5 linked regions of the Callithrix jacchus genome follow. The protein of the gene in region 5 purifies or fractionates together with the protein of the main gene of each other region. This does not show direct contact. Links are inferred from orthologs where the notes say so. Each region holds a gene or a part of one and is shown on either strand. Other genes may lie near its edges. The genes, in order: HOMER3, GSN, HOMER1, TMOD1 and DBN1.

What was found.
Region 1: the proteins of DBN1 (region 5) and HOMER3 purify together in Homo sapiens (co-immunoprecipitation; 3 studies listed by BioGRID and IntAct, counting the BioPlex papers as one, with this or other methods). This does not show direct contact. The link is inferred for Callithrix jacchus from reciprocal best matches to the Homo sapiens genes DBN1 and HOMER3.
Region 2: the proteins of DBN1 (region 5) and GSN purify together in Homo sapiens (co-immunoprecipitation; 3 studies listed by BioGRID and IntAct, counting the BioPlex papers as one, with this or other methods). This does not show direct contact. The link is inferred for Callithrix jacchus from reciprocal best matches to the Homo sapiens genes DBN1 and GSN.
Region 3: the proteins of DBN1 (region 5) and HOMER1 purify together in Homo sapiens (co-immunoprecipitation; 3 studies listed by BioGRID and IntAct, counting the BioPlex papers as one, with this or other methods). This does not show direct contact. The link is inferred for Callithrix jacchus from reciprocal best matches to the Homo sapiens genes DBN1 and HOMER1.
Region 4: the proteins of DBN1 (region 5) and TMOD1 purify together in Homo sapiens (co-immunoprecipitation; 3 studies listed by BioGRID and IntAct, with this or other methods). This does not show direct contact. The link is inferred for Callithrix jacchus from reciprocal best matches to the Homo sapiens genes DBN1 and TMOD1.

Annotation. Positions count from the first base shown.
Region 1 is NC_133523.1:17,630,848-17,634,881, forward strand, and holds the start of HOMER3 (homer protein homolog 3), read right to left. Parts: upstream 2,801-4,034; 5' UTR 1,863-2,800; intron 595-1,862; 5' UTR 527-594; coding exon 513-526; intron 430-512; coding exon 273-429; intron 33-272; coding exon 1-32. UniProt on the Homo sapiens protein: Postsynaptic density scaffolding protein. Binds and cross-links cytoplasmic regions of GRM1, GRM5, ITPR1, DNM3, RYR1, RYR2, SHANK1 and SHANK3.
Region 2 is NC_133502.1:169,724,930-169,728,446, forward strand, and holds part of GSN (gelsolin), read left to right. Parts: intron 1-623; coding exon 624-714; intron 715-2,533; coding exon 2,534-2,704; intron 2,705-3,316; coding exon 3,317-3,491; intron 3,492-3,517. UniProt on the Homo sapiens protein: Calcium-regulated, actin-modulating protein that binds to the plus (or barbed) ends of actin monomers or filaments, preventing monomer exchange (end-blocking or capping).
Region 3 is NC_133503.1:131,558,481-131,561,997, forward strand, and holds part of HOMER1 (homer protein homolog 1), read left to right. Parts: intron 1-2,399; coding exon 2,400-2,510; intron 2,511-3,123; coding exon 3,124-3,204; intron 3,205-3,517. UniProt on the Homo sapiens protein: Postsynaptic density scaffolding protein. Binds and cross-links cytoplasmic regions of GRM1, GRM5, ITPR1, DNM3, RYR1, RYR2, SHANK1 and SHANK3.
Region 4 is NC_133502.1:145,688,470-145,691,986, forward strand, and holds part of TMOD1 (tropomodulin-1), read left to right. Parts: intron 1-3,247; coding exon 3,248-3,404; intron 3,405-3,517. UniProt on the Homo sapiens protein: Blocks the elongation and depolymerization of the actin filaments at the pointed end. The Tmod/TM complex contributes to the formation of the short actin protofilament, which in turn defines the geometry of the membrane skeleton.
Region 5 is NC_133503.1:68,679,943-68,682,748, reverse strand, and holds the end of DBN1 (drebrin), read right to left. Parts: coding exon 2,705-2,806; intron 2,305-2,704; coding exon 1,652-2,304; intron 1,351-1,651; coding exon 1,248-1,350; intron 1,095-1,247; coding exon 1,024-1,094; 3' UTR 515-1,023; downstream 1-514. UniProt on the Homo sapiens protein: Actin cytoskeleton-organizing protein that plays a role in the formation of cell projections. Required for actin polymerization at immunological synapses (IS) and for the recruitment of the chemokine receptor CXCR4 to IS.

The sequences.
Region 1 (4,034 bases), on a different chromosome or scaffold from region 5:
ATGTTTGGAGTGACAGTGCTGTTGATGATTGCCTGGGGTTGGGGGACAAAGTTCAAGGTTGATGGGACGGATAGTACGAGACATGAAACCCCCAGGTATCACCTTGTATTAGCCTCTGGAAAGTCTTTACTCTGAGCCATTTCAGGGGACAGACTAGGGCCCCGGAAGGCTCAGAGTTTCCCATCCCTTGGGCACACAGCAAGCCAGCCACCAGACCCACGCGTGTCACCAGGACCCCTGGTGCCTCTGCCCCACCTAGACCCCACCCGGACCTTGGCGCCCCCAATGCTGATGATGCGGTAGACATTTCGGGTGGCATCGTAGAAATAGGAGACCGTGAGTGCATGCTTGCCCGCCGGGATCCAGTTTCGCTTGGTGGCCGGGTCAATTTGGAACACGTGCGCCCGTGTACTGAAGATTGGCTGCTCCCTGTGTGGGGAGAGGGTGATCAGTAGGGGCCGGACATGCCCCCTTAGAAAGCTCAGGTCCAGGCTGGGGAGGTGGGAGCTCACCTGGCTGTGGACATTGGTCAGGCGGGGCTGGGCAGGCTCTAGGGGGCAGCCAGAGAGGTGGCAGGAGCCGCTGGTTTGGCCCCTAGGGAGAGAGGAGGGACTATGAGTGTCCCTCAGGCCAGGTTGAGGGAAGCCAAGCAGGTTCCAGCTCAGGACCCATTATCACAGAACTTTCCATCAAAAAGGCAAGAGAGGCCCAAAGCACTGGGTGTGCTTTGGGAGGCTGAGTCAGGAGGATCATTTGAGCCCAGGAGTTCGAGACCAGCCTGAGCATCATGGTGAGACCCCACCCCTACCCAAAATTTAAACAATTAGCCAGGTGTGGTGGCATGTGCCTGTGGTCCCAGCTACTGGGGAGGCTGAGGTGGGAGGATCGCTTGAGCCCAGGAGGTCAAGGCCGCAGTGCAGTGAGCCATGATAGCACCACTGCACTCCAGCCTGGGCAAGAGAGCAAGACCCTGTCTCCACAAAACAAAGAAATGATAGAAAGAAATGAAAAGGCCAGATTATCATTATAGATCACTCAGAGCAAGTGGACCCCATCTTTCTTTGTCTGGGGGAAGCCCTCACCACACCCTGTACAGGAGATGGCCCTCTGAGAGGAGCCAGGTGGCTGCTGTTGACATTCAGATGTAAATCTCTCATCGTCCTAGTTACGGCACCCCCCACCTCGCCCCGTGAAGCCCCCTCCATCCTGGGCTGAGCTGTGAAGGCCACATATCTGCTGAGTTCTTTCCATTCACCCATGACCGGCCAGAGAGAGGTTCTCCATCAAAAATGGGGCATTGAGAGGTGTGTAGTACTGGGAGACCAGTTCCCCACTGCGCCCTGCAGAGGGACCCCCCCAGCTCCCACCCTAGGCTAGAGGCACACCTGGCAGCCCAGACTCCAAATCCCCAGGCAGCCCCCAGCCAAGTTAAAAAGACAAGATGTAGCCAAACAGCCAATCCCAGTGCCCATCACAGGGAGCAGAGCAGAATGCCAATCCCAATGCCACCACTGGGAGAACAGGGCTCCCCAACCTCCCCATTGGTCCATCCAGCCACCCGGATGTGCAGGGGACCAAGGAAGGATTTGGGGGAGGGGGAAGATAGGCGGGGAGGCCCCAGCCCAGCAGCCTCTATGGTCAAAGGGGGTATGCCCCCCCATCCTGTCCTGGGCAGCTGCTGCGCCGGTCACAGGGTCTGAAACTGGAGCCCCTGAGTGGGGGTGGGGCGGGAGCTCTGGCCTGGACCGGAGGTAGGTCCTGCGCCAGGTGGGAGTTGGGGGACGCAGGGGTCCCCGGAACCCAGGCCCTTCCGGTCCGGCCGCTCCTGCTGCGACTTGCAGCGTTTGGGGAAAGTTACTCACCAACTAGTCATGCGCTCGGATGCCGCCGGCCACGGGGCTCCCGAAGGGGGGTCCGACACCGCCCGGTGCCCGGGATCCCCAATCTGGCCGGTGGGTGAGGCCCCGTCCCATGCACCCCACTCCGGAGGCGGGGAGGGGGCCAATATTCATTCAGGATCCAGTCCCCACCCGAGGCGGGAGGACACCCAGTGCGCGACCCAACTCCGGGACGCGCGCCCTGACCCTGGAACTTCCGAGATTCCCGCGACAGCCCCGTCGCTGGGTACAGAACTTCGGGGATACCTCTTCTGCCTCCTCCAACCCCAGGTCCGGAACTCCGGGGACTGCCCTCCGTGCCGCCCCCTCTAACCCGGTCCGGAACTTTGGGGACCCCCTCGTTGTCCCAGACTCCTAAACTTCGAGGTGGACCCCCTGCCACCCTTCCAGTCCCTGGTCCCGGACGTCGGGGCCCCTCCCGCGCCTGGCTCCCACCCCAGGTCCGAAACTTTGGGGACTCCTTCGCAGCCTCCTCCAACGCCGGGTCCAGAACTTTGGGAACCTCCCGCGCGGTCCCCTCACCGACCCCGACTCCAGAACTTCGGGACCCCTGCGCTCCCTCCGGCCCTGGAACTTGGGGGCCCCTCGCGCCGCTCCCAGTCCCCAGGTCCGGAACTTCTGGGGACCCCCCGCGCCCTTCCCTTGGCCCCGCGACTTCGAGGCCCCCGCGCTCGCGGCGCAGTCTCGGCCGGCCGGGCTCACCCTGCCGGGTCGGCGCCCAGCGAGTGTTCGGTCGCAAGTCGGGTGCGGCCCCCGCGGCGCTGACTCCGCGCAGCCGGGCGCCCCGCTCGCTCCCTGGCTCCCGGGCCCGCGCCCTCCGCGCCGCCCTCCGCGCCGCCCGCGTCTTTGTCTGCGCCGCCGCCGCCGCCCGCGCCGCCTCCGGTCCCATCGCGGCGGGTCCCGACGCGGCCGCCGCCCGCCCCGCCTCCCGGGGCCGCCGAGGCCGCCCCGCTGCGCCCCCTGCCGGCTTTTTGCACCGGGCCAGGTGGGGGGAGGGGCGGGGGATTGGGGGAGGGGGCTAAGGGCGGTGGAGGGGGACTGGGGCGTTGCGGGGGTTCGGGACTGGGAACAGAGGGTGGGGACAGAGAGACAGAGGAGAGGGACATCTGGGATGAGAAAGAGACCCAGAAAGAGACACGGCGGAGACAGGCAAAGAGACAGGAAGCAGATGTAGAGATACAGTTGCAGGGACGGCGATGTGACCTCACCCTCCTGTCACGTCTCAGGGGACAGCTGCCTCTGTCCCCACTACCTGAGGTCATGACTTTGGGCCCATGAGGAAGGTCAGGTCCCTCCCGGGCTGACGTGGGTGGTTCAGTGAGGTTGCAGAGGGGGCGGTGGGTCCCTTCTGGCCACGGGGCTCTCGTTTCCTGGCAACACCCATTGAGCACCTACTGTATGCACTGTATGTACTGTTTGCATACAGTAGGTGCTCAATGGGTGTTGCCAGGAAACGGAAGAGATCGGCTTCGGGAGGGAACAGGAAGCAAGACAAAGAGAGAGAAGCCTTCCTGTCTGTTCTGCCAGCTCCATCCCTGGGCAGGGACATCTGTCCACCTCTGTCCTTCCCAAGACAATGGTAAAATGCCCATGATGGTTGGATTAAGGTTATCATTGCTAGTTTGTGGGTCCCAAGATCCAAAGGCTTAGGGAATGTCTCCAACGCATGGGTGTGTCCCCTTTGTCACCTCTGGTCACAAGGAGCATCCCCTTCCCACACTTGCCAGGAAAGCATCCTTCCAGAGCTGAGGTGGGATCCATCTCCCCAGCCCCAAGCCCATGGGTGGAACTTGTCAATCCTGGTGCTGCCCTATCTCTGGCACCTTCTCCAAAACCGCACATTACCGTCGGTTTGTGGGCAAAGTCCCTGCAGCTCCCTGGAACCAAGGGCTGTGGCGCCCTACAGCTCTGAGCCTTGCATTTGAGTCTCTTTCTTTCTTTCTCTTTCTTCCTTCATTCCTTCCTTTCTCTCTCTCTCTTTTTTCCTTTCTTTCCCTCCCTCCCTCCCTCTCTCTCTTTTTCTTTTCTTTCTTTTTTAATTAATTATTTATTTATTTTTAAAGACGGGGTTTCACCATGTTGGTCAGGCTGGTCTTGAACTCCTGACTTCAGGTGATCCGCCCACCTCGGCCTCCC
Region 2 (3,517 bases), on a different chromosome or scaffold from region 5:
GACTTTTAAAAAAATTAGCTGCATCACACATTGATATGTCAGATTTTGTTTGCTTATGTGATGACATATGTTGGTTATGGAAACGTAGAAATATGCAAAGAGGTGGGATAGAAAGGCAAAATCCCCCTAAAACTTCCCTCTAAGGGCAATCGCCATGGACCTTTTGCTGAACATCTGTGCAGACCTCTCTGCACGTGTTCACGGGAGGCTTAATCGTTGACATCTTTTCCCATAAATGGGCTCACGTGACACTTGCTGTTCTGTGACCTGGTTTTCCACCCAGAGAAATGTCCTGGCCACTTCCCTGCATCTCAAATTTGAGTCTCAGAGCACCTTCTCTGTAGCTGTTCAGTATGGAATGACCCAGCCAGTCTCCTGTGGGGCACATTTAGGATAAGGAAATTCATGCGTTGCACTCAGATCTCTGTAAGCAGGCAAGGTGCTTGGCTGAGAGTGGAAGTGTTGTTGGTGTGGTTCCTGGCTCTTGTTGCTCTGAGAGGGTCCCCTTCTCTCTCTGTTTCTTTACTGGTAACGGGGTGATTTGTATGTTTCTCAGACTCAGGGCAAGGGAGAGGCTCAGGGCTCTGTGTGCACCTTGGTGCTGAATCTCACTTCCCCTTTAGGCAGGGTGCCCAGTCTACACAGGATGAAGTCGCTGCATCTGCCATTCTGACTGCTCAGCTGGATGAGGAGCTGGGAGGTACCCCTGTCCAGGTGAGCCCAGCCCACCAGCTTTCTGGGCTGCAGCCTGAGCCTTGTCTATCTGTTACTCATCTGTCTGACTCTCAACCATCTGTTCGTTTGTCCATCCATCCATCCATCCATCCATCCATACATCCATGGTACAGATATTTATTTAGGGCTTGGATGTGTTCCACACTGCATCTGTAGCCATGGACACGCAGACACTGCCCTGCCCTAATGGGCTTTGCTGTCTTGGGTGGTAGTAGACATTCAACACACATGTACACTAATGGCTATGACAGATGAAGCGAGTGAAAATGATAAGACCTTGGGGAGACAGATGTGGGAGAGGCAACATGGCTAAGCACGGATGTGGAGCCAGCACGCTTGGGTTTGAATCCTGTTCTTACCTCTGGGCAACTTTGGGCAAGTCACTTAGCCCCTCTGTGCCTCTGCATCCTCAAAATAGGGGTAATAACAGTACCATCCCACAGGATTGCTGTGAGGATTAAGTTAACATTTGTAAAACATTTAGAGCCATGCCTGTCATATAATAAGTTCCTCCCTTATACACATGTGTTAAGTATAAGGGCATAAATCCCAGGTAGGATCCTATTGGATTAGAAAAGCCCACTCCTGTCCCAAGAGGGAACTGTTCAATGGGGGCCTAATGCATGTGTAGGAGTTGGCCAGGCAGAGTGAAGGAAAGTACGTTCCAGCTAAAAGGTGGTGCATACACAAAGGCCCTGGAGTGGGCGGGAGCATTGGGTGTTAAAGTGAAGGGAAGGTGCCATGATTTGAGGCTGGACAGGTGCTCAGAGGGCCCAGACCACCAGAGGCCACGGTGACGATGTTGACCTTGATGCTCAGAATAACAGGAAGTTGCTGAATGATAAGTCTGCGGTGTGGGGATTTCTGGTTTTAAAAGTCGCTCTGGCTAGCGGGGGCGCTGGAGGGCAGCAGAGCTGGTTTGTGGAGATGTGGGGGAAGCAGACAACAATTGTCTTCCTCCATCCTATGCGGGGGGTGCGCAGGGCTCTAGACTTGGATCAGGGCTTCATGCCCTGACCTTTGTCTATGATAGTCTGGGTGCTGAGCACTAAATGAGACGATGACCATCGTAGCTCAGTGCATCCTCACGATGGCCTTGGGAGTAGCATCCTTGGCTGCATTTTACAGAGGAGGAACCCAAGAGGTTGAGATATGTGCCCAAGTTCTCACCATCAGGGTGGAGTTGGGTCATGGTGGGAAGCAACTGCCATGCACCAGACACGCACGTGTGGTTTTCTTCTGGACGTAGTTAGTCAGGGCTGCGGTAAGGTGGCACACATGGCTGGGGATGGGTAGCACTTGTGAGGATGTACATCTTCCCCGCCTCACTCCCACCTCCCAGCCCCTGACTGCTGCCTGCATCTGGGTTGCACTGGCTGTCAGGAGGGCGTTTTCCAGATCTGGAATGCTCTGTTCTTACCACTCCACTGGCAGTCATTGGCCAGGCCTGACGTCACCATTCTGGAAGAATGTCCACCAGCAATCCCTGTGCTTCTATTTAAGGGAATATTTGCAGACATGGGCTCTCCTGGTTCTTGGACCAGACTGAGGGTCAGCAAGGCACATCCTCATGGAGATGGAGAGCAGCCACAGCAGCAGTGCCCTGGGGACCGCAGGCGATAGTGTTGTCTCCACCCTTTTTGGAATTTTGTGTCTTGGCCTGTGTGTTGTAGGGTCACACTCACTGCCACACACAGACATAAGCATGATGGCTTTGTCTGAAGGGGTGGGCCCAGTGTGACATAGAAGGACTGAGTCCTGCCCCCAAGGTCCCCTCACTCTCCTGTCTCTCTGCCAGAGCCGTGTGGTCCAAGGCAAGGAGCCCGCCCACCTCATGAGCCTGTTTGGTGGGAAGCCCATGATCATCTACAAGGGTGGCACCTCCCGGGAGGGCGGGCAGACAGCCCCTGCCAGCACCCGCCTCTTCCAAGTCCGTGCCAACAGCGCTGGAGCCACCCGGGCTGTCGAGGTAATTCCCAGGTCCTGGACCACAGAAAGGATTGGCCTCCCTGAAACCTCCCAGGCTCAATGGGCAGATGTCCAGGCACAGGATGGGGTGGGGTGGGAGAGGGAGTAAGAAGCAGCTTTTTGTACCTTCCTGCCCTGGCCGCGGGGTGATCTGTCTCAGACTTCCTCCTGTTTCAAGGATGTCCTGTGTCCCTGGCACACTGCATAGTGGACAGCTCACTACCTATCGTTCTGTACAATCAGGACACCATTCCTGATTATATTCCCGTTGGCTACTATCCCTTTCGGGAGGAAGGCACAGATCTGGACGTGATTCCCAGGATGGTCTGGGGAGCCTAGAGGGGAATGGGACTCTCACCTTCTTTGTTCTGGGTGCTCAACTTCTGTTAATGCAGCCCTGAATTCTAGAATCATCTTGGCTAGTCACAGTGCATTAGTGACTCATGGGAGTCAACCAAGGCCGTCAGAATCCAAAGCCTGTGCCCTTAGCTCTGATGGGCTGTGTTCCTCCAAGTCCCCTCCTGAGAGCTCATCCTGTTGCAGGGTCAGCCGGGCTGGAGGGGGCTGAGGGCTTTTTGTCTGGCTCCTGATTAACCAAGCTCTACCCTCCCAGGTATTGCCTAAGGCTGGGGCACTGAACTCCAACGATGCCTTTGTCCTGAAAACCCCCTCAGCTGCATACCTGTGGGTGGGTACAGGAGCCAGTGAGGCGGAGAAGACAGGGGCCCAGGAGCTGCTCAGGGTGCTGCGGGCTCAACCTGTGCAGGTGACAGAAGGCAGTGAGCCAGGTAGGAGCCGGGATGCAGCTGTCACA
Region 3 (3,517 bases), about 63 Mb from region 5:
TAAATGAGGTGTTGTAGAGACCACAGATTTTGTTATTTTTGAAAAGTATTGAGTTTTTGTTTCAGGAGGCAGTTAAATTATTTGGGGATTATCTTGAATTTATGGAGTTGTGTATTTATGCTTTGTTAGAATTCATTTATTTCCATTTTGCTGTAACCCTAGGGTAAATCGCTTTGTCCTAGGAAATCTTTCTCTCTAAGACATAACCCTTCTGAGGTTTCAATGAAAAGCTTGAGCTATTTACCAAGACCCTATAGTTTAGAGGGGACTAGCAGAACTTCAAACTGTCCTCTCTGTTGAGCACCATCACAGTTTAGGTCTTTCAGCCTTCTAGCTCTTTTCCTACTCCTAGTTGTTCCAGGTCTTCTGCGGAGTCCTAAAATTCTCAGGCTCCTCAGAGAAATAAGAGTATGGATTTCTGCTTGAGTTCAGTCAAGCAGTGCAGCCAGACTGCAGAGTGCCATCAGGCAAAAAGATGTTGAAATGTGTATTTCACCCGAAGTGACTGCTTTCTTGCAGTCTTTTGCCCAATTTGGTTATTCACCAGGGCCTTCAAACAGTTGATTTTTATATTTTGCCCACAGTTTGCAATAGTTATCTATAGGAAAGTTACTCCAATAAAAACTATGTCATCATTTATCAGAATTGGAACTCCCCTTAAGGAATTTATTATATAATGAGACAAAGAAAACAAATACATATTAAGCAATAAGAGAAATAATTCCAAGATTTTTTTAGCAGCTGCTTGGTGGTGTGAACCAGAGGAGAGCCTTGAAGGCTTGAGCAGATAAGAATGGCTTTCTGGAGAAAGTACCTGCTGAGCTAAGAGTTAAGGGTTTGGTTAGGTCCGAATGGTTTTCAGAGGCAAAAGAGGACATTCTAGTTAAATCAACAAGATGGGAATGAATATCGCTTGTTCTTAGGACAAGGAGATTTGCCTGCTTTCAGTTGGAAGTACTCGCTGAATGTCTTAGGCAGTATGGGTGGTTGAGAAGGTTGGGGCCAATATACAAAGGATCTGAATGTTTAGATCTGACACTAAAAAAGATGAGCTGCTGAAAGTCTTTGAATGGGGGACTCACAGGATCAAAGATGAATCTGTTAGCAGTTTGAAGAATGGACAAAAATAAGAAAAGGTTATAATTAAGTCCACTGGGAGGCTGTTGGTTTTGTTCAGGCCTGGGCGTTAAGGGTTTGTAACAAGACTATTAGTTAAAAACCCTTGAGAAGAAAGGAAGAAAATTATATCACACCTGTTATCCCAGCACTTTGAGAGGCTGAGGTGGGTGGATCACAAGGTCAAGAGATTGAGACCATGCTGGCCAACATGGTGAAACACCATCTCTACTAAAAATACACAAAAATTTGTTGGATGTGGCGGCATGCACCTGTAGTCCCAGCTACTCGGGAGGCTGAGGCAGGGGCAGGAGAATTGCTTGAACCTAGGAGGCGGAGGTTGCAGTGAGCCAAGATGGTGCCACTGCAATCCAGCCTGGTGACAGAGCAAGGCTGTCTCAAAAAAAAAAAAGAGAGTAACAGAATGTAGAGAAAGAGACAGAGTAACAGAATGTAGAGGGTGATTTGGAAAATGCCAGGGAAAGGGATTTACTCTGTTTCATTAATAGTGTAGAATTTACTGTCTTCTAGTAAACCAAAATTTTGTGAGCACATGATATGTGTAAAGAGCTGTGATAGGGTGTGTGTGCATGTGTGTGTGTGTGTGTGTGTTGTGTATTTATGTTGACTTCTATTATTGATTCTCATTTTGGATGGTATAACTTTAAAGACTGTGCCCCTCTCTGTTCTCTCAAAAAATACCAAGTGCTCATTAAAAGTTACATTACTCTTTAAGCATTCAGTAAATTCTTACTGACTAACAAAATATTATCTTACCCATAAGAGACACTATAGATGTAAAGTCATTCTAGTATCTAATGATTTAAGTTGTATTTTAAGCCTATTTTTTCTTCCAGATTCTCTTACATGTTGGAAATGTATTTGAAAAAATTCTCACTTCTACAAGGCCAGTTTTCAGAACCTGTATTGAATTTGGAGGCTACAGATGGAGGACAGATGGCCATATCTGATCTTGAATATATTTTTGGAAGAAATTTTTAAAGAAGACTTTTATTATAGGAATTCTCTACTGTCATTAATCACTTAAGTTTTTCTAACCTTTCCATGACCAAGCCATGTAAATAATTATTTTCTTTGGTCTTTTACCCTTTCCTAGTTTTACATCTTTGAAGAATCTATTCACTCTACCTTGAGTGTTTTCTTAGTACTTCTCAAAATCAATTTTTATGTATTTATTCAGAATATACTATTCATTGGGACTTATATCTTTAGCAAGAAACTCTTTAAAGTTGAAATTAATCTGTGTTCTTATTTAATTTTAGGTGACTGAACTGGAATGTGTTAGTAGCCAAGCAAATGCAGTACATACTCATAAGTCAGAATTAAATCAGACAATACAAGAACTGGAAGAGACACTGAAAGAGAAGGAAGAGGTATTTGCTACTTTTTACTCATCTGTAATCTAGCTAATGTGTGTACAAAGTATTAGATTCTATGTCAAATTTAAGGGTATTTTATGGAATAAAGTAAAGTTGTAACCTTGTTTTAGGATTAAGTTTTTTCTTGAATGATATTAAGCTTGTTTTTATATTTTCCCTTTCCTTATTTCTGTTGTGAACTGTGGTGAGGCAATCAGACGGAGATACCACCTATTGCCTTCTAGATGAGAGTTGCATTTATACAGTCAACAGAAAACTATTAGAGGTTAAATGGATTTTAAAAGCTGTTGCTTTTTCTGGGTTCCAGTCAAAACTTTAATATCTTAGGAAAGAATCATATCCACAAAGCTTTAAAGCAACATTAAAATTTTCAGGTTGTTATTTCTAAGCAGTGCTGTACCAGTTAGACTTGTTGCTGTTACTTAAGATTATTCTGTTCTAGACAACGTACTTATAAAGATGAATTCATCCCTTTAAAAGTCAATATAAAGGAATGTTTTTTAAATCATCTTTTTCTAAGAACTGGAACAATAATTTCAGGGAAAAATAAGACCTTCCCTTTCCTTGATACAGCTTAAATGCTAAGATGTTGCTCTGCCTTTTCTAGGAGATAGAAAGATTAAAACAAGAAATTGATAATGCCAGAGAACTACAAGAACAGAGGGACTCTTTGACTCAGAAACTACAGGTGAGCTGTCGTAAAAATTTTTATTCATTTCTGCATAGAAAGGCATCTTTTTTTTTTACATAGCAGTGACTTTTTTTCTGATATTTCATTTTGCAGGTTTTGGTCATTTTTCTTTTCCAGGACTTCTGATTCATGCCTGTCATCTTTGGTTTTTGAAAAGTTACTTGGTAACTTTATCTAGATAGCTTATAATCACCATAGATGGTCATTTATAAATTATAAATTATTTAGTAAATTCTTTTGGAAATTTCTACTTTTAATTAAAAAAAATATACCCTGGGGTTGGGCATGGTGGCTCATGCTTGTAATTTCA
Region 4 (3,517 bases), on a different chromosome or scaffold from region 5:
TGTTTGTCACAACTTGGGGGACAGTACTTCTGGCATCTAGGAGCTAGAGAGCAGAAGGGCTGCTAAAGAATCTCCAGTAGGTAGAGCGGCCTCCACGACAAGGAATTATCTAGCCCAGAATGTCAGTTGTGCTGAGGTTGAGAAACTCTGCTTTTACTAAATTCGTGGCTGCTACCAGATAGACTGGAAAAGAGATGAGAGTTAGCAAACCCTTCTCCCCTCAGTTACGACCCCTGGATTTCTTCTATTGCAATACTTAGCCTTTCTGGGGCCAGAACGTGCCTCAGCATCTTACTGACATCAAAACCCTTTATGGTAATGAAAATCTGTAGGCCTTCCCTGTGGGGATCCCTAAGAAGCAGGAGCACTTGCTTTCAGTGCTTAATTCATTTTATATTTGTGTGTTTTAGTTTTTTGAATTTATACTTGGATAATGCATTCCCTGTTAAACATATATATTTGGGTAACCAATCTCCTATTAACATATATTTTACCTGATTATATAACAATGGAAGTGACCATAAGTACCCATTTTTGGCTGTTCACTATGTTAGGCACTGTGCTAAGCACACTTTCTGCATTATCTCATTTAATTTTCTCAACCACTCTATGAGAGAGCAACTCTCATTACTTACATTTTACAGCCATGGAAACTGAGGCACAATGAGATTTAGGGGACTTGCCCAAGATTGTGCAGTTGAATCATTATTACTCCAAGTCAGGTCTGAAGCCTGATGGGTCAACTATGAGGTGCAGGCATGCCACAATGAGTTCGGATTATCCATTATGGGTAGTCACACATTGACGTTTGCAGAGCAATGAGGTATTCTCTCACTCTCTTGCATCGCAGTAAGCTCCCTGCCATGGAAGAGAAGGAGTAGGCAGATACAGCTAGCTATAGGAAGTCCCATCTAACCTGGGATATGCCCACAGAAGCATGGCTCACCTGGGAGCATCACCTATCCTGACTATCATGGTGGACAATATCTGAGTGCTTAAGGAAAACTGGGATGTGTGTAGATCACTTATGTTCCGGAAACTTCCAACCCCAAGTCAGTCAGGCCTTGGTTTTCTACCGGCTGTCCTCTCATAAAAAGCTTCAACTCCTAGTGTCTGTTTTGATCTGTGGCCTAAAGCTATCTGTAAGCACACCAGCACCACTTGCCAGGCCTGTTATCTGTCCATCCAGGCTCTGTGCTAGGTGGGTCCTGCTCACTTACAGCCCTCTCAGAGGCAGGGTCACAGCCCAGTCTCCTGACCTTACAGCCACGACTCTTACTGAAACAGCATTGTGGTGTTAAAAGCATAAGCATCATGTGGTGGCTCATGCCTATAATACTAACACTTTGGGATGCTGAGTTGGGTGGATCACTTGAGGTTGGGAGTTCGAGACCAGCGTGACCAACATGGAGAAACCTGTCTCTACTAAAAATACAAAATTAGCCAGGTGTGGTGGCGCATGCCTGTAATACCAGCTAGTCGGGAGGCTGAGGCAGGAGAATCACTTGAACCTGGGAGGCAGAAGTTGTGGTGAACTGAGATCACACCACTGCACTCCAGCCTGGGCAACAAGAGTGAAACTCTGCCTCAAAAAAGAAAAAAAAAAAAAAAGATAGTACATCTTTTAAAACATGATGCATTAAACAGTAGTATTCCCTCCCAGGCTGTATCCCTCTATGTGCCAGGCATATGTTGATCTTCATATGCCTGATAACAGTCCCCTTACAGAGGGGGCTTTCAGAAAAGGATTTGGAGTTTGTAAGAGTGACTGAAGATATGCATTTTGATGGTACAAAGATTGGAGGTGGGGTCGGGCACAGTAATCCCAGCAGTTTGGGAGGCTGAGGTGGGCAGATCACCTGAGGTCAGAAGTTCAAGATCAGCCTGGGCAATATGGTAAAACCCTGACTCTACTAAAAATACAAAAAAATTATCTGGGTGTGGTGGCGGGCACCTGTAATCCCAGCTACTTGGGAGGTTGAGGCAGGAGAATCGCTTGAACCCAAGAGGCAGAAGCTGCAGTGAGCAGAGATCACACCACTGCACTCCAGCCTGGGTGCAACAGAGGGAGACGATCTTCAACTTAGCCAGTTTGAGGGTGCATATCTTTGGGGTGATGTCCTTTCCATACCAGCCTCCCATGTATCATCTGCTAGCTCTGCGAATGCAGAAAGAGACAGGGAGCATGCAGCAATTAGAAATGAAGATCTTCCTCCTCCCCTAAATCTGAAGAAGAACGCTGGTTTTTGTTCTAGACCTGTCCTGAAACTCCTCGGGCAAATCTTTCCTTGCTCCAGGCCTCAGTTTCCCCTGATGGAGAGTGTATGCACTAGATGATCTCTGAGCATCCTTGCAGCTATAGGGTGATAGCTTGTACCTTTGACTCCCTAAGGTACGGGGGGCTGAGTTAAAGTGAAGCCGGTGAGGGTAACTCCAATCCCCCCTAATTAGGAATCTGCTTTAGTAGTAAGCCCTCACCTAGAAGCCTGCTTATGTTTGAAGAAGAAAAGAGAACAGTTGGTTGATGTTATGTTTCTTGAGATACCCATCTCCAGGGGCGACATTCAAAATATTTAACCACCAGTGTGTCATGAGCACGAACCCATCAGGAGGTGAGAAGGCAGTGAGAGGTAGAGCCAGCAGGGGCTGTGCCCACAGAGCATGCCCCGCCCACCTCTTAGCTCTGCAGGGCTCTGCTCACCTCACTGCTTTCCTGGGCCTTTCTCCAGCTTTTTTTTTTTTTTTTTTTTTTTTTGTCTGCCTTTTCCTGCCTGATTCTCCATCCAGGGCCCCAAGTCAACCCCCTTTGGCTGCTTCTCTTTCCAACCACTTGATACTCAACTCCTGTAAATATCTTTATGCATCCAAACAACAACTCAGTCATATTCATCCCCCAACAGATGCTCTTTCAGTGTCCTCTGTGCTCAGGCTGGAGTTGGCTGCCTTGACCCCTCACCTCCTCGTCTTCAAAAATGTTAGAGGCAGGGACATGCTGGAGGATTGAGAAACCTGAGTCTTAGCCTCTCTCTGCTCCTCATCTGCCTTTGACCTTGGGCAAGCCCCTGCCCCTCCTGGGGTTTCAGATTCCTTACATGTAAAACGAGGGACACCATGGATTCCATGAGCTCTGAGGTCCCTGCTGTTTGATGATGAGTTTCTGGAGAAGTGCAAGTCTTCAGCAGCTGATCACTCTCTCTTTCTCTCTCTCTCTTTCTCTCTCTCCTGCCCCCCACAACCTCCACTGTAGAATGCATTGCTGCCTGCAGGCCTGAGGCAAAAGGATCAGACCACCAAGGCGCCCACGGGCCCCTTTAAAAGAGAGGAGCTCTTGGATCACTTGGAAAAGCAAGCAAAGGAGTTTAAGGACCGAGAAGATCTGGTCCCCTACACAGGGGAAAAACGAGGTACTGAACAATGTTGCTGTTATGAATATACCACTCGCCATGCATCATTGAGTGCCAACTGTATACCAGGCCCTGCCAGGCTCAGTACTGGGCCAAATGTGACTGGGCCTCCT
Region 5 (2,806 bases):
AGTCTGAGATCAACCTTCCTCGGGCGGTTCTAGGTTCTAGGCGGCTTCACCTGGAAGCCTCAGCCCCCCACCCAGTGTCTGACGGGCCTTGGAATTAGGGTGAAGGCGCCCCCTGGTAGCAGGGAGGTGCTGTGGCCTCGGAGGTGGGAGGAGTTGGGAACCTGGGTTAGGGCAGGCGGCAGCCCAAAGGGATCTGGATTTCTTTATTAACAGACATGAGCACGACCCGTTACAGAAGTTTGTGCTTTCCAAAAAAAAAAAAAAGAAAAAAGAAAAAAAAAAAAAAAACAGTTACTGAACGTGAAAAAGGAACCCAAGCAAAGAGGAAGGAGTTTGGGAGGGGCCACCCAAGCCCCTGGGCCCCATCCATAGCCCTGACCTGAACCGCGCCTAGGGCCTCCAGCCTGGGACCTGCCCGGCAGGAGAGGGGGGTGGGTAGCCAAGGGGACCCAGCTGGGCCTGCTACTTCCTTTGGACCAGACAGGGAGAGGTCAAAAGAAGGGTGGGGAGGGGGTCCCAGGGAGCCAGAGCCCACGAGCCATTTATTGCCATGTTTTAAAATTCGTGCAAAATATCTGAAGCCCTGGACAGAGAATACAAAGTGATATTTTTCCAAGAAACATAAAACTAGGAAAAGAGGTGGAGAACATTTTCCCACCAGAGCTCCCCCCACGCCAGGCCCCAAGCAGGGTGAGGCCTCCACCCCGGCCAGCTGAGCAGGGAGGACTAAAACAGCTACAATCTGGACCAGGGAAGGAGAAGTAGAATTTGCAACAGCGTCTCAACTACCAACGGGAGGAAAACCAGTCAACTGTACAAGTCTCCTATCAACTTTAAAAAAAAGAGAAAAGCTGTAAAAGTCAGGCCCTGTGGGTAGGGAAGCGGCCAAGTCCCCAGCCAGGGCCGGAATCCAGAGTGGGTGCCAGGCGGAGCTGCTGCGAATGCAGGCACGGCGGGCCGTCTGGCCAGAGGCCGATGCAGGTGGACGGCCTTGGCAAGGGCAGCCTAGGGCTGGCGCCACTGCTAATCACCACCCTCGAAGCCCTCCTCCTCTTCTGGAACTGGGTCTGCATCCCAGCAGGTGATGTCGATTTCTATGGCATTAGAAGATAAGATGAGTTAGGGACCTAGCCGACCCATGCTTGTGTCCCCAGCCTCTATGGGTGGTGGGTAGTGGTGGGATGGCTGCCCACATTCAAACCCAGCCTCCCCACCGAAATTCTTCCCATCATCCGCCCCATTACTACCTGGAGGCTTGTTGTAGAACACAGGAGGCAGAGCCTTGGCACAGAGCTCTTCCGATTGGGCAAACTCCTCCTCCTGTGATTGACTGAAGTACCCCTCACTGGCCTGCAGGGGAAAGCATCAGGTCACTTGGCCCCAGCCAGCAGGACTGGGGCTGACCTATCAGGCCTAAGCCCGTTTCCCCAGCAACCAATGATTCCATCAGTGGTTGCCGGGGAAACACAGATGCCTGCCTTGGGAACAAAAGCAGAGCTAGCCCAGGAAGGGCAGGTGGAATGGACTTCCCCTCCAATAATGTGGGTCACACAGAAAGGGGATACCGGTGCAAGCCTGAGCAATGCAGGATCAGTGCCCTGCTCAGCCTGGACTCACTCTCATCCCTCCCACCAGGCAGCCCCTGCTGCACCTGGGTCCCCTCCTTCTGAGTGGTCTCGCCATTGGTCAGCAGGTGGGGCTCTGGCTCCTGCTCTTGCTCTTGTTCCAGCTCCTCAAGGGCCGAGGGCAGAGTCGGGGCCTGGGGGACGGCCAGGGGCTCCCCTTCTACTTCCTCTGGGTCACAGAAGGTGGCTGGCGGCTCAGGCAGCTCATCAAAGTTGAGAAGGGTGGAACAGCTTTCGCCTGCTGGCAGCAGTGACTCCGGAGCCACCTCATCCAGCAGGGGCACCTCTGCCAGGGTGACCTCAGTACCTGAGGGTGGTGTGGGGGCCCTGGGCTCACCCTGGAGTGAGCCCCCTTCCCCATTGCCAGGCCATAGGTCAATGAGGCTGGTGGTGGCAAGGGGTACATTGTTGGCAACAGTGGTGTCAGCAGTGGCAGTGTCGGTTTTGATGGCGTCAGCTGCATCATGGGCCTCAGCGGTGTCAGCTGTGGCAGGCTCCACAGGGGCAGCTAGGACAGCCTGCTCTGCAGACTCCATGAACATCAAGTCCTCTGCAGGGCTGCCTGGCCCCTGGGGAGGCACCTGTGCCTTGGGGGGCTCCTCCATGGGGCCGGCCCAGGCCTGAGGGTCTGCTGCTCTGGTCTCCTCACTGTCCAGGCTGGGGCTGGGCTCCTGGGTCTCTGTCACAGCACAGGCAGAGGAGTTATGCAATGGGCTCCCTTGAGGGAGGATGGAGACCCTGCCCCATGGACAGTGGTGGTGGTTGTCCAACAATGTGAGGAGGGAGCCAGGGACTTCCATGCAGGTGTCCCACTGCCCCCTTACCCAGTGACCCCAGTGACTTTAAGCCCCTTGGCAGCTCCAGGAGGAAGGCCTGATTCCCACTTAAGAAGTCGGGTGCTGAGCTTTAGAGAGGTCTGACTGCACACCAGGGCTCCTCCCCACACAGCCGCCTCCAGGGCAGTGCAGTCTTAGTGATGGGTGTCCCAGATCCCTGGAGAATGGTTACCATGGCAACCTGGGGCTCTCAGCCAGGGAATGATGATGGGAGCCCTGGTGCAGGTAGGGTCCCTCTCTCACCTTGGGCTGGTGTGGGTGGTGGTGGCAGTGGTGGAGGCTGTGAGGATGTGACCTCATCCAGGGCCCTCTCAATCTGCTCAGCAACAGGGGTGGAGGCGGTGC